Linked DNA regions of Struthio camelus. The protein of the gene in region 2 purifies or fractionates together with the protein of the main gene of each other region. This does not show direct contact. Links are inferred from orthologs where the notes say so. Each region holds a gene or a part of one and is shown on either strand. Other genes may lie near its edges.

The links.
Region 1: the proteins of RSRP1 (region 2) and CPSF6 purify together in Homo sapiens (affinity purification with mass spectrometry; 3 studies listed by BioGRID and IntAct, with this or other methods). This does not show direct contact. The link is inferred for Struthio camelus from reciprocal best matches to the Homo sapiens genes RSRP1 and CPSF6.

Annotation. Positions count from the first base shown.
Region 1 is NC_090942.1:40,603,087-40,610,752, forward strand, and holds the start of CPSF6 (cleavage and polyadenylation specificity factor subunit 6), read left to right. Parts: upstream 1-4,569; 5' UTR 4,570-4,632; coding exon 4,633-4,692; intron 4,693-7,666. UniProt on the Homo sapiens protein: Component of the cleavage factor Im (CFIm) complex that functions as an activator of the pre-mRNA 3'-end cleavage and polyadenylation processing required for the maturation of pre-mRNA into functional mRNAs.
Region 2 is NC_090964.1:7,464,739-7,472,652, reverse strand, and holds the start of RSRP1 (arginine/serine-rich protein 1), read right to left. Parts: upstream 3,079-7,914; 5' UTR 2,855-3,078; coding exon 2,766-2,854; intron 2,525-2,765; coding exon 2,469-2,524; intron 1,181-2,468; coding exon 551-1,180; intron 197-550; coding exon 42-196; intron 1-41. Other genes in the region: TMEM50A (transmembrane protein 50A), read left to right, coding at 3,712-3,804, 4,302-4,414, 4,823-4,890, 5,015-5,107, 6,443-6,503, 6,789-6,834.

The sequences.
Region 1 (7,666 bases), on a different chromosome or scaffold from region 2:
CAGCTCAGTGTTGGATAATGGCCCAAATCACCCAGAGCCAGTATATAGGGCTGTGTGTTTGACCCCAGAGTGCGCATGCAAATCAAGGGTGTGAAAACGCTGGAAGAGTCTTTCCAGAGTTGTGGCAACAGCTTTTGTGACAGGCATTGTAGCAAAAAAGACGCAGAAGAAATGGCTTAAAGGCTTATAATTTGGATGCAGACAAAGTGCTCCAGCTCAGGAGCCTTTCTGGGATCTAGCAGAGCAATCTAGCAGAGCTGTGTAGATGTAGCTGAGGACCAGTGTCAGACGGGTTGGCATGTTGTTTGAGTAACGTGTTACCTTCTAGTTCCAGACTTAATTCTGCTTATTTATGGCATAGTAACTATTGAAATTGCCATTCCTGAAATCTGGAAGTGTATAATTTTCAAAAACAAACCCGACCATTGTGGGTTGTCTTGTCTGGACTTCTAAATAGTTGAGCTGTAAAGAGAAGAAGCCTGGGGAACAGCGTTGTGTCGGCCTGTGCTCCAAAACGCTGAGGCAGTTGCAATGCATGAGTGAATCGTGAAGACTTTTTTTCAAATTCAGAATAATTCTTGATAACAGAAGTAAACAGAAATCAAAAAAAGAAAAATGCACAAAACCCTATGCAGTTAAGTTACGCCAGAGCTCAAATACTTTGAAAAATCAACAACATCTGAAAGTAGTTTAGATAGTGCTTTTCCTTTGTTTGCATATGCATATAGCGCATTCAAAGAAGGATCTGTTTAATGCATTTAACGTATTTAACAGGTTTCAGCCAATTTAGAAGAGGAGATTAATTGCAGAAAGGTATTGCAAAGAACAGGTTAGTGCTGAACGTAAGGGTAAAAATAAAGTTAAGGAGAGAGGTTTTTAAACAAATAGAAAGTGAAGCTATCCAAATAAACAGTGAGTGATCTAAAGCTGAAAATTTGATTTCATAGTTTTCTCGAGCCAACTGAGCCTTCCGATTAATGGCTTATAAGGCAGTGGATTCAAATTGGACAATTGAAGTTATTACCATCCCTTGCTCTGTACTTACCTTCCTGCCTTGAGGGTTGGGAAATCCACACTATTAGTGAATCAGCTCCTGATTCCCTGCAATTTTCAACCCGCCTCCGAATCACTGAGTGAAGAGCTGAACCAACAGAACGAGTAGACTGACGGACAAAAGAAAAGAAGGAAAAAGTAGGAAAAAAAAAAGAGATGGAACTCTATACTTATGTGCATGAGCCCAAAACAATTGAATACCTACAAAAAGAGGAACCTGGGCAAGAAATGAGTTATACAAATACTTTCCTACACAGTTGAGTCAGTAGGAGGTCTTGCAGATGCTCTTAGGATTTAGTTTCATGCTACACTTAACCCAATCTAACCGTGGGCTGCAGCCAGAAGAGGAGGTATTTACTGCCCCTTTCCCTGCACAGGCTGTGCCACTACCTCTTTTGGAATGAGAACATGATGATCCCTTTCCTTGTCAACCTGCAATTACATTAGCGTTAACATAACATGAAATTTCAGCCTTCTAAAACAAGGACACAAGCAAGGAGTTGTGCCTATTTGCCACCTCATTTGGGACATGCTTCTTCCTCACTCTGCTGTCTGAGCAGTTTTATGTGCTAAGGCACTTCAGTGGAAGAGACAATTTCTTACAGTTTGGAATGCACAGACTTTTACCATTTGGATACTTTTATTGGGAGAAAAACAATAAAAGAGCATGCCCAGTGGCTCCAGGCAGCTTTGGCAAGATCGAAAGCTTCAGGGCTACGACTAAACAAACAAAACATATATTCAATGCAATGGGACTAACAAAGCTAGGACGTAAGTTTATACAACACCACATACAGGTAGATCTCAAGTAAGCTGCTTTTGAGCACTATCCTGATTACACAGCACTTTCTGGAATCATTTCTCATCTTTTCACTTTGTTGTCTGTAACATTACTGCGTGAGCAGCTTAGTCTGATACTAAGATGAAAAGTGTGTTGGAAAGTTCCTTTATCATTCTTCGTCTTCACTCCTCAGGGAAATTTCTAACATATATTTATTTTTTTAATTTAAAAATATATTTTTGCTGTGTTCATGGTAGAAAAAATAGAATATTTTCAAAATTGGGATTATATTGAAGCTGGTTCTGCCACTTTTACCTGAAGCCCGACGTTTAAAGGTATTTTGAAGTAATGACATACAAACAAAGATGAGGGGAAAGCATTCTCCTCCCCTCCGTCTTGCAGCTGTTAACATACTAGTAGAAGAGGCACTGAAAGGCCTCAGAGAGGCAAGCACAGAGAGGCTTGTGGGCTAGCAGTGCATGCTTCATGAGGTTCAGAGCACCCACAGTTGCTTCTGTATTCAAGATCAGGATTATACTTTCTGTCATTACAACAGAAGAGACCAGTGAAACAACATACAAATGAACAGGCTCTTGTGGATCAATGTGAAACATGAGCTTAAAGTATAGACCACTTTCCCAGGTATAGTCGCCAGCGTCCTGGCTTCCTCCTGCTTTTGATATCTAGCAAGAGCTGGAGATGGAAGAGTATCCGATGGTGTGAAAGAGGAACTTGAGCAAGACATTAGCTTATCTGCCACCATTTGCTCTCATGTTACCCTCCGGCTTTGGAAATTGTGCAATTACTTCCTATTCCATGGCTTTTACTGTCCCAAACAAAGCTTATGAGGGCTCTTGTCCCAGACCACGCTGCACCACAAATATTCTTTCATAATTACATTTCTTTTTCAGCCCATTCTCTGCCTCAGTCTTTTGAATTTTACTGGGAGGAGGCAGTGAATGGTATACATAATTTTGATGTATACAAAATAGAAAGCATTAACATTTTCATCAGAGTTGATCAATTGTTAAGTTGCTCCATGGAGAGATAATAATTCACAAAGATGCTATTGCTGACCACAAGAAAGTTGAAGACATATTTAGTGAGTCTGCTCATGAAGAAAATGAAAACACAGCAGAAAGTAAATAGAACAGCTTGCATAATGTTTACAGTCTCCTACACTGTTTACAGAATTTGCTTAATGATATGTATGCAAGAATAAAAATAATCACAGTATATTCTGTAGAGGTCTGCATGCAATAAATCCAGCCAGTGCAACTGTTTAGAAAAGCTCCAAGGTGGTAATGCCTCTTGAACCCAGAACACAGCATAGAGGGCCCTACGGGTCTCAGTGATGACCCTTCCTTATCTTACAGAGCAAAGAAGAGGCAAAGTCTTTTCCTGCCTCTTCAAAGACTCCTGACAGGGTCCTTCCAATGCTACTGATCCCTCAGGTGGTTTCTGAGGTGAGCGGAATGACTTCCCCATTCATATTTAATTTCTTTGCCCTTTTATTAAACATCATTACAATCTATGCATAACTTTCCTAAGATACCCAGATGCATATAAAACACCCAACTGCACACAGCCTAGTGTCTCCTATGAATTCTTATCCGATCATTAGGACAGCAAGGGGTAAGTTGTCTTGACCTCAGTAACTTTGTGCAGCACAGCCAGATGGGCAAAACTATTAAGTGCCATAGTCACTAAATCATTTCATCATGAAGCAAATCTGTGAACCCTTTTAGATTTCAATGCTGTAATAGTATCTGTATGCACAGTGACAAATCCAGAGGAAAAGCCAATCTTCCTTGCAAAACCAATGGATCATTTCATCCACACATGACCTATACAGTCGTAGACGTGAACTGGTATTTAGATTTTTTTTTTTAATTTAATTTTTTAAATTTGCGATTATCAGTTGGGAAACAGCACTAAAAGTTCAGGCAGGGGGGTTTGTTTGTTTAACTACCCTCTCTAACATGTTTCTTCAGCTGATACCTCCGCTCTTGCAAAGGCTAACGGACCTGCTAGTTCCTCTATAACCAGGAAACTCCCAGTGCGTTTGCGAGCAGACTCCCTGCCTGAAGGCGTCTGCCTTCCCGAGTCACTGACATCAGGAATGATACCAGAGGCCTGTCCCTCGTATAGTTTAACGTGCCACGAGCTGGATAAGAACCCCCGGGACTAGCCCTTCAGCAGCTCCTAGGTGCCCCAGCAGACCCGCTTGCCGCGGTCCTCTGCTGTTTCCGCTCTTTGCTGGTCCGTCCGCCTTTCCTTCCAGGGGGGCGGCACGCACCCGAGGCGGGAAGTCAGGCCGGGCTGCAACACGCAACCCCGGCCCAGCCGCCGCCAAGCAGCCCCAGGCACGGGGAAAGACCTTCCGGAGCAGCCCGAAATTACCACTGAAGCATCTTTACTGCTTGCAGCTATGGTTTCACCTTGTTTTAATTCCGCCCCAGCCACGTCAGCTTGGGTGCGGTAACATCACCGTTCTTCCGCCGCCGGCCGCAACAGGAAAACCCGGCGGGCGCCCAGTGGCGGGGGGCCGGCAGGACGGGCAGCGCCGCTCCCCCCCCCGCCGCCCCGGCCCCGGCCCCAACGGCCGCCGCCCCGGCCCCAACGGCCGCCGCCACTTCTGCGGCGGCCGGAAGTCCCTCCCGTCCCCTCCCCGCCCCTGGCGGAAGTGACGCGTGCTGCCGTGCCCTCCCCCCCTGGCGGCGGCGGCGGCGGCGGCGGCGGCTCGGGAGCCGGGCGCGGCTGGCGGCGGCCCGAGGCGCGGCGCGGCGGGCGGGATCATGGCGGACGGCGTGGACCACATCGACATCTACGCCGATGTGGGAGAGGAGTTCAACCAGGTACGCGCGGCCGCGCCGGGCCCCTCCCCTCCGCTCCGCGCCGCGCCGCCTGCAGGGCCCTCGGCGCCGCGGTGGGGCCGGGCCGGGCCGGGTCGGGCCTGGCGGCGCCATTGTTCGGCCGGCTCCGCGCTGAGGCTTTGCCGCGGCGGCCGGGCCCGATGGCGCCGTCGCTGTGCCCCTCGCCGCGCCGCGCGGATGGGGCTCGGCCGGCGCCGCGGCCAGGCCGCGTTTCGGGCCCGGCCCGCGGCGGGGACAGCAGGGGAAGGCAGGGCCGCGCCGCCGTCTCGGAGGGGAAGCGGGCGCCGAGCATGGAGGGAGGGAGGGAGCGGCTGCCTTCCCGCCCTCCCTCCGCCAGTGGCCGCGCAGCAGCGGAGCAAAATCCCGCTCCCGCCGCAAGAGGAGGAGGCCGTCAGAGACGGGACCCTCCCGGATGTGGTGGGGAGAGTGGCTCCCTCCCGGCGGCGGAGGGGAAATACTGCCATTGTTCGCCCATGAGTTTTTAAAAGAAAAAAAAAAAAAGAAGTCGCCGTGCGGGAGCCGTTTCTCGGCCGCTCTTTGCGGGGGAGGTTGAACTACTGCGGCTCTATTACGCAGGAGAGGAGAAACTGTCTTCTTTTCACTCTTTCTTCTCGCCTGCTCCTTAGAAAAGACATTACTTCCCTCCTCTACAGGAGGAGCTCCCTTTTGGTGAGGAAGTGGTGTTGGAATAAACAGGACTTCCCTGGCTTACAAGTAGCCGATTCCTCTGCTTCCTTTTTTCCTCGTATCTCTCCCAAAAAGTAACATTCCTACTTTCCCGCTGAAATCTGATGTTTGAATCAGATTTGCGTGCCATCTGTCGTGTTTGCAACCATGCCACTTCTCTAGGTTGTGTTGCCCCAGATTGCGTTGTTCCTGCCCTAGAACGTAAATAACCAAGCACGGCTTTGCTTCCACAGATTTACCAGGCTTACTGAGTGAGGCCCAGCGCTCTGCCTGCCTGCCTGCCCTACAGAGAACTGAGAGACAATAGGTTGTGGAAGTCGCAGTTAATTTGGATAGCAACTCATAAGTGTCTCAGGAAACTTGAATTCTTTAGGTATTTATTGATAAAGTAATTCAGAAGATTAGCAGTCTCACAAAGGTATACCATTTAGGAATGTTGGATCAGATGAGCAGACAAGGGAGAGAACTGAATTATTCTCTTAGTTTGCTCTTAGATTGTCTAGAGGTGAAGATTTCACTCTTACAATTGAAAGTTCATTATATGAAACTAAATTAGGGTAACCCAAGCACAAATACCATTTTATCGTAAGAGTACATCTGTTCAGTTTCTTTATTAACTTTTTTTTATCAGTTCCAAGTAGGATATTGATAGCTAATTAAGTAATTCAGAACAATTAATTGAATCCAGTAGTGCTGGTGTAAATTCACGAGTGCAGAAGCCCTCAAAGTTGAATAATTTATGGCTGCGAGTATAGTGCAGATAGATACTGCCAGAGCAAAACTGATGGGGATATTCTGTTTCGTGCAATATAACAACGTTCTCCTGGTCTGCTCAGATACTGGCTGATTTTGACATTCTCTGTAGCTGTGTTACTAGGGAGGATGATTTTACAGATGAAGAGAGTCTAGTGATAGTCTAGCTGATGCAGCAGTCAGGAACACCTTTTGGTCTTTTTGCTGCACCCACCCCTGTTGCCTTCCTGCTGGGGCTGTGTTTCTGCACTGTTACTTCCCCTGTTTGTGACTCTGGCAGAACACAGAGCAGAAGAATAAGAAGGAATTGGTGCCCCTTTTCCCTTAGCGTCTCTCTTTTATTTGCAAGATTTTGCTGCTTAGTCTTTTCAAAGTTTGATTTTCATGACTTGCATGTTGTCTCGGACCTGCTCGGTTGAACAGTATTACTTTAAAATAGAAAGCGATAGTGGGAGACATTGACACCTCTGCACTTTCCCCGTTTTGTTCTGTCAAGCATGAAGGAAGGCTGATTGTTGCTTTGTACAGTATTGCTTGCTGCCTCTAATTCTGACATTGTTGTGATGGGTCTTTTTAAAAACTGTTTCTGGTGATTTTTGATTTGAACCTTACAGCTTAAATTGATAAGACAGAGAGTTGACTAATGCTGTAGGGAGAAAGTGATTAGCATTATTAATCTGTTTACATAGCAAACGTTTTACAGGGTGCTGTATTTGTAAAGAAAGCTTGCTATATGTGTAAAGCAGTAAACGATTGTTCTTGGATTGGGTGGTGCTAGGTTAATTTGATTCATGAATACTCATTTGAGTTGGTCTACAGGAACCATTTCCACTAGTTTTGCCAGTAGCAGGGACTGAAAATACACTATTCTGGCTTTGTCATTCTTCTGAAGTGCAGAATAACTGTATTTTTACCCAGGCCAGGAAAAAACTTTTCCTTACATCCGTGGTGTTTCAAATAGGTCTGTAAGGACTTGTGATTGGATGAGTTTCCCTCCATTGCTTTGTCCTGTTCTGGGCATCAAGATGCTCCTCTTGGGTCTCTTCTGGGATTTTTATAGGCATCCTTCTAGGAGAAGGGATGTTCCGCTTGATTATTGCTATATGAGTCACAGGTAAGAAGGGTGAAATACAGACCAGAGAGCCCCAGGTTTACCAGCTGGCTAAACTGGATGAACGTGAGAACTGACGAGGGTGGTATTGGTGCTGGTTACCGTGATCTGGCTGGCGCAACTTGAAGTCAAATCTTTTTCCTTTAGTGAAAGCACATCCTTTCCATTCCATCTGGTGCTCATCAAAACTACATGCCTATGTTGCCTTTCACCTTTCATCAACTTGCCGTTCATCATATGTATATTCTTTATCCTTATGTTTACAGCTCTTAATCAATTTGGCTCCTACGGATTTTATTTATTTATTTATTATGCCTTCCTTTTTTCTTGTGCTCTTCTCTTTTGGAGAACTTAATTGAGTCATGCCATTTTTCATTGTCTTCCTCTAAGCTGGTTTCCCCATCC
Region 2 (7,914 bases):
GTCTTTACCTTTTCATTGGGAATACTCCAGTTCATACTTACCTCAACTGACTCGCCAAGATCTTCATGCTCTAGCTCTTTGTTATTTGTCTCTTTGGAAGGAGTAATGACCTTCAAGCTCGCTGGCAAGACTATCTTATCTGTCCCCAGGGCTTTTGCAGCATTAGCTTTTGCAATTTCCAGAAGCTCCCTCTTCTCTACAAGAGGGAGAGAGCGTCATTTTCTTGCATTTAGATCAGTATGTAGCTACTCTTACTAGCCTAGGAACTGCAGGTATACTAACACTGCACTTTTCTAAGTATCAACTCTGAACGATTGTGATCAGAACTTGTAAAGTTTCGCTTCAGTTTAAGGGCTAAGAACATATTCCAAGCTACCTAGTTATAAAAATATATAAAAAACTATATATAACTATGTGGAGATTTCTTCCACGTTGCCGTTATCAGTTTTGTTCTATAAAGCAAATCTAGAGATTAGAACTTGACCAGTTAGCATAAATAGTATATTGTTGAGTTTTCTCACATACAATGAAACTCTCACTAAAAAAGTACCTTTTTCACTCAAGTGCAGAGGTGATCTACTACGAGATCTCGTTCGTGACCTGCTTCTCCAGCTCCTGTAAGCCTCAGGATATACCGTTCGCCCAAATCCATAATATCTTCGGCCTCTTGAACGTGATCTGCTTCTTGAATAGGACCTTCTGTAACATGATCTTCCACGTGACCACGACCTGCTGCGTGATCTGTATCTTGGAGGAGAACGGTAGTACCGCCTGTAGTGTCTGGTACGGTACCTTCCTCGGTACCTCATGTAGCCACCACGTGATCTCGACCGGCTTCTGGAATATGATCGAGAATATCTTCCGTACCTTCGGCAACCATTTCTTCTACCCCACGATCGTGATCTGGATCTAGACCGGCTCCAGCTCCTTGAGGAAGCTGAAGAGGAACTGCTTGAACTGGACTGTGAACTGTAAGACGATCTGCTAGATGACCTTGTTGATGACCTATCACAACTTCTTCTGGATCTCAGACAAGATTCTCTTTTCTTAGGAGAGCTGAGGGTTAAGTCATCCATGAAGTTTGTCATGTCATCGGTCTTTCTAACCTTCATTTTCTCCATGCAGGTACTGGAAGTTGGCTCTGTTTTTATTGGTATTCTACAAAAGCCAGTTTCTGTTCCTGTTCAGAAAGGGGGGCCGGGAACAGAAATGAGGCAGCCAGGTCATTTATACAGCAGCCACAGACAAACGTTATGACAACCACTGGCAAACAGTTTAAGAGTAATCAAACACAATGACAATTCTCACCCAGTTTATCAGCATGTTTTACCTATGACAATTTTAGGTTTCATCATTTCCTCTCCTACGGCCAAGAGTCTTCTATATGAAAGAAAAAACAACTTCAGTTTAAACCATGAGTAATTCTCTGGGGTACTCTGAGAAGTTTGTGTGGGTTTTTAGTTTAATACCCTTCATTCAGTGTAAGCATACTTTTATGAAAAGGGTATGAATTCAGATTTTCTTAACAGAACTTTCAAGGCTGGGCCAGACTATTCTAAATATAGTTTACTACCAAGGTATCTCAGCTGCAGAAGTCATATGTCTTCAAGGTTAGCATAAAATCAAGTTTATTCCTGCAATTCTGTAGAGATGAAGTAGCTACTTCAAACACAAAAATATACATACGTATCTATATATCTCCAAGTTAGAAAAGTACCACTTCAAGATCTTGACTATTACGTTACTAAGTTATCTCTGAACAGTACTCCACGCACACTTTATACAGTATGCATAGCAAGCCACTGTTACAAAAGCTACTCTACACAATTTGTGAGAGATACAGCTAATGCCTTATTGGAGATGATTTATTAAGAATGAAACACTACCTGAGGTGATATATTAATAAATGAAATGGCTGCCCTCCTTTACTGGCAGCCATTTTACATATACAAAGGTTACTGCATCCTAGTTGTGTAACTATCCTATCTCAAGTTCTTAGTTATGCCACCGCTTTACAGTTCAAGAAAGCCCACTTCACGATAAAAGTCGTATTTGGTGCTCACTGTAAACAAGAGTTACCCAACCAGTCTTACAGCCTTCTTATCAAGAGCACCAAACAGCTCTATAACCTTCCACAAGAAGTATTCCCCTCACTACTACTAGAAGCAAGTTTCACTACCTCACCTCTAAACAAGTGCAAAGCTCACAACCATTGCACAGAACGCATTCCACACAAAACAGTTATTAATTCTGAGCTAACTCCCCATAACATACTAAGCTACCTAAACAGTAATATTTTCAACACTGTAGAGTATTGGAGCGTATCACAGATATCCTCATACAACCGTTCTGCACCTGCCAAATTGTGAACGGGCACCGACAAGGTGTAAGCGCTGCCCTCCGCGCACCTCTCTGCATGAACGCTGCTGGGGGAATTCAAGGGGACTCGATTTCGCTCTGGCACTTACCGCTGGGGGCTGCCGGACATCCCAGGTGCCGGTTCCCTGGGGGAACCTGGGCGTTCCTGTTACAAAGAGAGATATGTGGAGTCTGTTTGCCAGCCCCAGGGCTACCCTACACCCACTGTCCCCCGTCCCCTCCTGAAGCCGGCCCGCATTCCCCCTCCCTCCCCCCGGCAAGGAACAGGCGAGTAACGGCCGCCGCCGTCCCGCCGCCCCTAGCATCCCCGCCAACTCCTCCCGCCGGCACCGGCTCCGGGAGGGTGCCCAGCGCCCCCGCTCCGAGCCCGGGCCCCGCTGACTCACCGGCTCCAGGCAGCTGGGCCACCTCCCCACGGATCCTGCTCCTGTGGCGACGCCTGAGGCGACAGCCCCGCTTCGTGAGTCACCCCCATAGCGACCGGACGGACCCTTCCCCTCAGGAAACGAGCGGCGACGCAGCCCCACGGAGCCCTCCGACAGCGCAGCCCACGCAGCGCAGCGCAGCACCGTCCCCAACCGCTCCCGCCTCCCAGCAGCGACTGAGAGCGACTGAGAACGGCCGAGAAATTTCCAGAACCCCCCCCCCCGGCCCGCTCCCCGCTTGCGTAACGGGGAAGCCAAGGCGCATGCGCCGAAGGCCAACACCCGCCCACAGCGAGACTGGTGCGCGTGCGTATTGGCCGCGGTCGCCCCCGTCGCCTTTTTTCTTCTGGCGCATGCGCAGAAGGATGTGCCGGCTGCCTGCCTGGCCCTACTGGGCATGCGCGCAGCCGCTTGGTCTCATGACTCTCCCGGTGCGCATCAGCTGAGGGCCGCGCCTGCGCAGTGCGCGCGCTGGCGACGGTTGGTGCTGCGCGGCGGGGCCCGTTCCCTGGCGGCGGTTGGGGCTGCCGCGCGCGCCGGCGGGGCGCCGGCGACGGCCCTTCCCCCGCGCTGAGGTAAGCGGCGGCGGCGGGCAGCCCCTGCGGGGCGTGCGCGCTCCCCGGGCGGCACAGGCCGCTCGTCCCGTGCCTTCTCCCCCTCCCGCGGTGCCCGCGGCATCGCCGCGTGTCGCCCACCTCCGGCGCGGGCGTCCCGCCGCGGCGCCTCCCGTCTGCGCCTCAGCTCTGCGGCCGCCGCCTCGCCGGGGCCTTCCGGGGGGTGTTGGCGGCCAGGCGCTGTGCGGTATCGTTGCAGTGGAGGCTCACCGCCTCCAGTTGATGCGTGATAAATTTCCTCTTTGAAATAAAGGCTCCTATTTTTCTTTTCCAGTTCTTCGGAGAGCTGAAAAATGTCTGGCTTTCTTGAGAGCTTGAGGTGCTCGGAGTGCGTGGACTGGGGAGAAAAACGGAACACGATCGCTTCTGTTGCTGCAGGAGTGCTAGTGCGTACAGCCGCTTTCGTAGCCTACTGGGGCTTTTTTGCATGGAGTTAACTGCCAGTGAGCTGAAAATTAGGCGTTTGGAAGCAAAAGGAAGAAGGGGGGGGGGGTATATTGGCAGTGTACGTAGCAGCAGAGTTAGAGCCTACGCCTAGCTAGGCCTTTGCATCCAAAGAATGCTTTCCCAAACGAGGTTAGCTCTTCAAAAGAACAATCTTAGCTGTTCTATAATGTTTTCTGTAGAGACGTTTTAAAGACGCACTAGGAACTTTCTCAGCTTTTACCTGTATAACGTGCACTAACTCTCAGGAGGTATCTCGCTGGCTTTGCGTTTACTATTGTTCCTAATGAAGTTGATAGCAAACCTGGTTGTGCCTTAGTTGAATCTAGACTGGACTATAACAATGGTTTTATATATTAATGTTATTTTTGGTAGGGTACTCGTATACTGATAAAAAGGGTTATGTCTGTATTTTAAGCTCCTGTGGTTTTTTAAATAGTTTTTTACAGGTTGGTGGATAATCATAGATGCGGCTGTAAAATACCCTGAAGCGGAAGAATTCAACCATTCGTACCATGCTTGTGGGGTTATAGCCACTATTGCATTCCTAATGTAAGTGTAATTTCTTGATCAGAGCTACGCACTCCTAGAACTTAATCTGTGCAATTAATAAAAGAACACATAGACTTTAAAGTGAGAGGTAACAAAGAATAAAAAATCAAGTTAGTATCTAAAGCATCTCTAATATCTATCCTATTTTTTATATTTATAGGAAGGAACCATTTAAAAAAGTTAAGGGTGTGTTGTACAGATCCAAGTTTTATTAGTTTGTATCGGGAGAAATGACTTTTTCAAGTTTTACCCGTGTCCCCCTTTAAAAAAAAAAACTACAAAACATTTGTAAGAAAGAAAGCACCACCCGTTTTATATGGGTTTCTGAGAAGTTTCTCCTGTTGCTTATAAATGTTTACATCTTGTTTCACCAGTGCTACCTAGTTTGATCTTGTTTTGCTTAAACAGGATCAATGCAGTGTCTAACGGACAAGTTCGGGGTGACAGTTACAGTGAAGGCTGTCTAGGACAAACAGGTAAGGTGATTTTTAAAAAATTGCAAATTATAAAGCCTCTGAAACAAAAGCATGTTGAAAGTTACAAGTATCTGTACTCGGACACGGGCACAAAACATCCATACACAAAATGTCTTTTTTTAAGGTGCACGGATTTGGCTATTCATCGGTTTTATGATGGCTTTTGGATCTCTGATCGCTTCCATGTGGATCCTTTTTGGAGGCTATGTTGTCAAAGGTAAGACGCGATACGGAACGTGACCTGACGCATTTTTGATAATTTACTTCAAAGTATTTTAAATGTCTGTTGAACTTTAGAACTTGGTTTCAGATTGTTTCTGGGAAGGCCCATTTTTAATATTTTGGTTCCCTGAGCGCCCCTATTCCATACTATGTACTATTAGCGAAATTTCTATTCCTTAAGAAGGTTATTGTTAGTCTGCTTTCTATAGAAAAAGGCTGTTAATCAGCCTCATTAATCATATCACTGCCGTTTCCCATGTGGCCCAGAGTTGTGTTCTTAAACTGCTGAAGTTTATGGGAATAATTCCCTGTGTAAACACTTAATCCTAGAATAAAAATGATCTGAGTTAATGTACATTCATTCTTTTCAGCTTCTGCATTACTCAGTTCACGGGGAATTTTCAAGGAAATCTAGGTGTGTTACTTGCATAGTTGTGCTACTAAAGCGCACTCACATTTTGTATGTTGTCATTATATATAAATATATATGCATATATTTATACATGCACCCATGTGCCCTGTACAGGATGTGCAATCCCTCAGGATAATTACACTCTCTGAGATCACTGCATTTGAAATGTACGTTTTAGGTTAGAGTGCAGGAGAAGCTTCCTCTTGTGAAATAGCCCCTACATCCGTTTTAGAGTTGGAAAGCTAACTGCATAGGGGTGTGTGTGCAAAAGGTATTGAATTAACTTTCCAGTGTGGGTTAGCCTTATGCTTAGTCTTCTGTTTCACACCAGTTGGGACCATGGACCAATAGAGATTTGGGGGGGGGGGGGGGGGGTCATCTTGTTAGAGAATGAAAGACATATACCAGACACATAATGTTATCCAGTTCCAAGAAAGAACAATCCAGGTTAGGCAGATTTGTTATGTAGCAGCGCCAGTACTAAAAAATTGTTGGATTAGGTGCGGAACCTTGCTCATTTAACAAATACTGAATTTTAGAATATTTTTTACCATTTTTGCAAATGTATTTTCCTAGCATCTACACAAGTACCTGAAACATTACAGTTTTATAGTTTTTATTTTCCCTCATTATAGCTTTCAATTATTTTTAGTTTGCAACAATTTGCAATTGTCACTTCATCTCTGTATCTATTAGAGGGGTCAATTACAATATGATTTCCTATCAAATTCATTTCTGCGCAACTGCTTAACAACACGCAAGTCCTTTCCAAGTATTCTTTTTAAGTGAAACTTGTATCTTTGCTAATATAATACAATTTAGTGTTTCTGAATGTCAGAGACAGGCTAGTCTTGAAGAGAAAAAGGAATTCTGAAAAACTGATGGGATTTTTTTTTTTTTTTTTTTTTTTTTTTTAAGAAAAAGCAGTAGTATACCCAGGAATAGCTGTGTTTTTCCAGAATGCATTCATCTTTTTTGGGTAAGCCTGTTTTCCCTTGTTCATTTCTCATGTAAATTTATTTTTAACAATTAAAACTGAAACTTACTATAATTGATTTTCCTTAAGCCCTATTTTGTAACTAGATATGTGTGGACAGACTGCGGGTAGAGTCAGTAATGCCCTGGGTTCAGTCTACATAGGTTGCAGAATCAGGACGCAGATTTACAAGTACTGCAACTTGCTCCCTGAGATCGTATATCTAAAACATTAGGTGTTTAGTCTGCTCCCTTATGTACATATGTCTCTTTGTTCTGTTTTAAACAGAGGACTGGTCTTCAAATTTGGTCGCACGGAAGATTTGTGGCAATGAACACAGCTATGGAAGCGCATTGGCCCTGTCATTTTTTTAACTGCACACGCCCAAAATTTTGTAAAACTTGTTTTGTAAACAGTAACCTTCAATTGTGTCTAAAGATAAAAACAGGAAAATTTAAATCACAGTGCTAACAATTCTGCTTCTATTCTGTTTAAAATACTTTTTTTTTTACTCTTGTATGTTGATTTAAATGTTGTAATGTTTTTGACAAATGTAAAATTGATACAAGTAACAATGGAAGTCACTTTTATGATTATGAAGTTTGCTACAAGTAGTACAGTAGAGAAAGGTTGTATTTAACCAGCTATTTCTATGATGTTATTTGCAATCCCAAACTGTTACTAAAAATACTTTAAAACAACTTTTTAACATTTATTTATTAAATATTTCCTATATCTGGACACTAAACACTTCAATTTCAAAATTTACCTGTGTGTGGCTTTTCTTGCATAACATGGAATTATGCTGCTTTTTCCCCTTGAATATTTTCTTTGGCCTGTGGTGATATTGCGGAAGTCTCTGGACAGTTCAACTTTCTGTTGCTGTGGATGATGTTGTAGAGGCACAAATACGAATTACGTACCTGCGCTAGATGGAAGTAGCCCCTTCACAAAATTTGTTCTCAACTCTGTTTTAACCCCTGCAAAACAAGGGACTGATGCTCCTTCAGATGATAGCTAGAGCAGGGACAGTCATGATCAGGGAGAATTTTGATCCTGCAGCTCTTCCTCTATCTCACAGTTCAAGTGCATATGTTATCTACCTCTTCCTATATGTGTATTGGGGGGGCTAGTTGCTTAAGAAAGTGCTGACAAAAGAGATGCGACAGAGTGGGGGAAAGAGAAGGAATAAAATACTATTCCTTAAAAGCAGCACCACTGCTAGAAGTCATCAGAAGCAATTTGTGTTACAGAAGTTGTGTTCATTTGGTTACTAGAAAGCAAGAAACTGAAGTACACCATTTGAACCTGGATTTGAACATTACAACGTTAGTAGCATGTTAGGTGTGAGATAATGCAAACATACAAATGTGTATACAGGCTCAATGTCACGGTATCAGCTGTTGACATAATG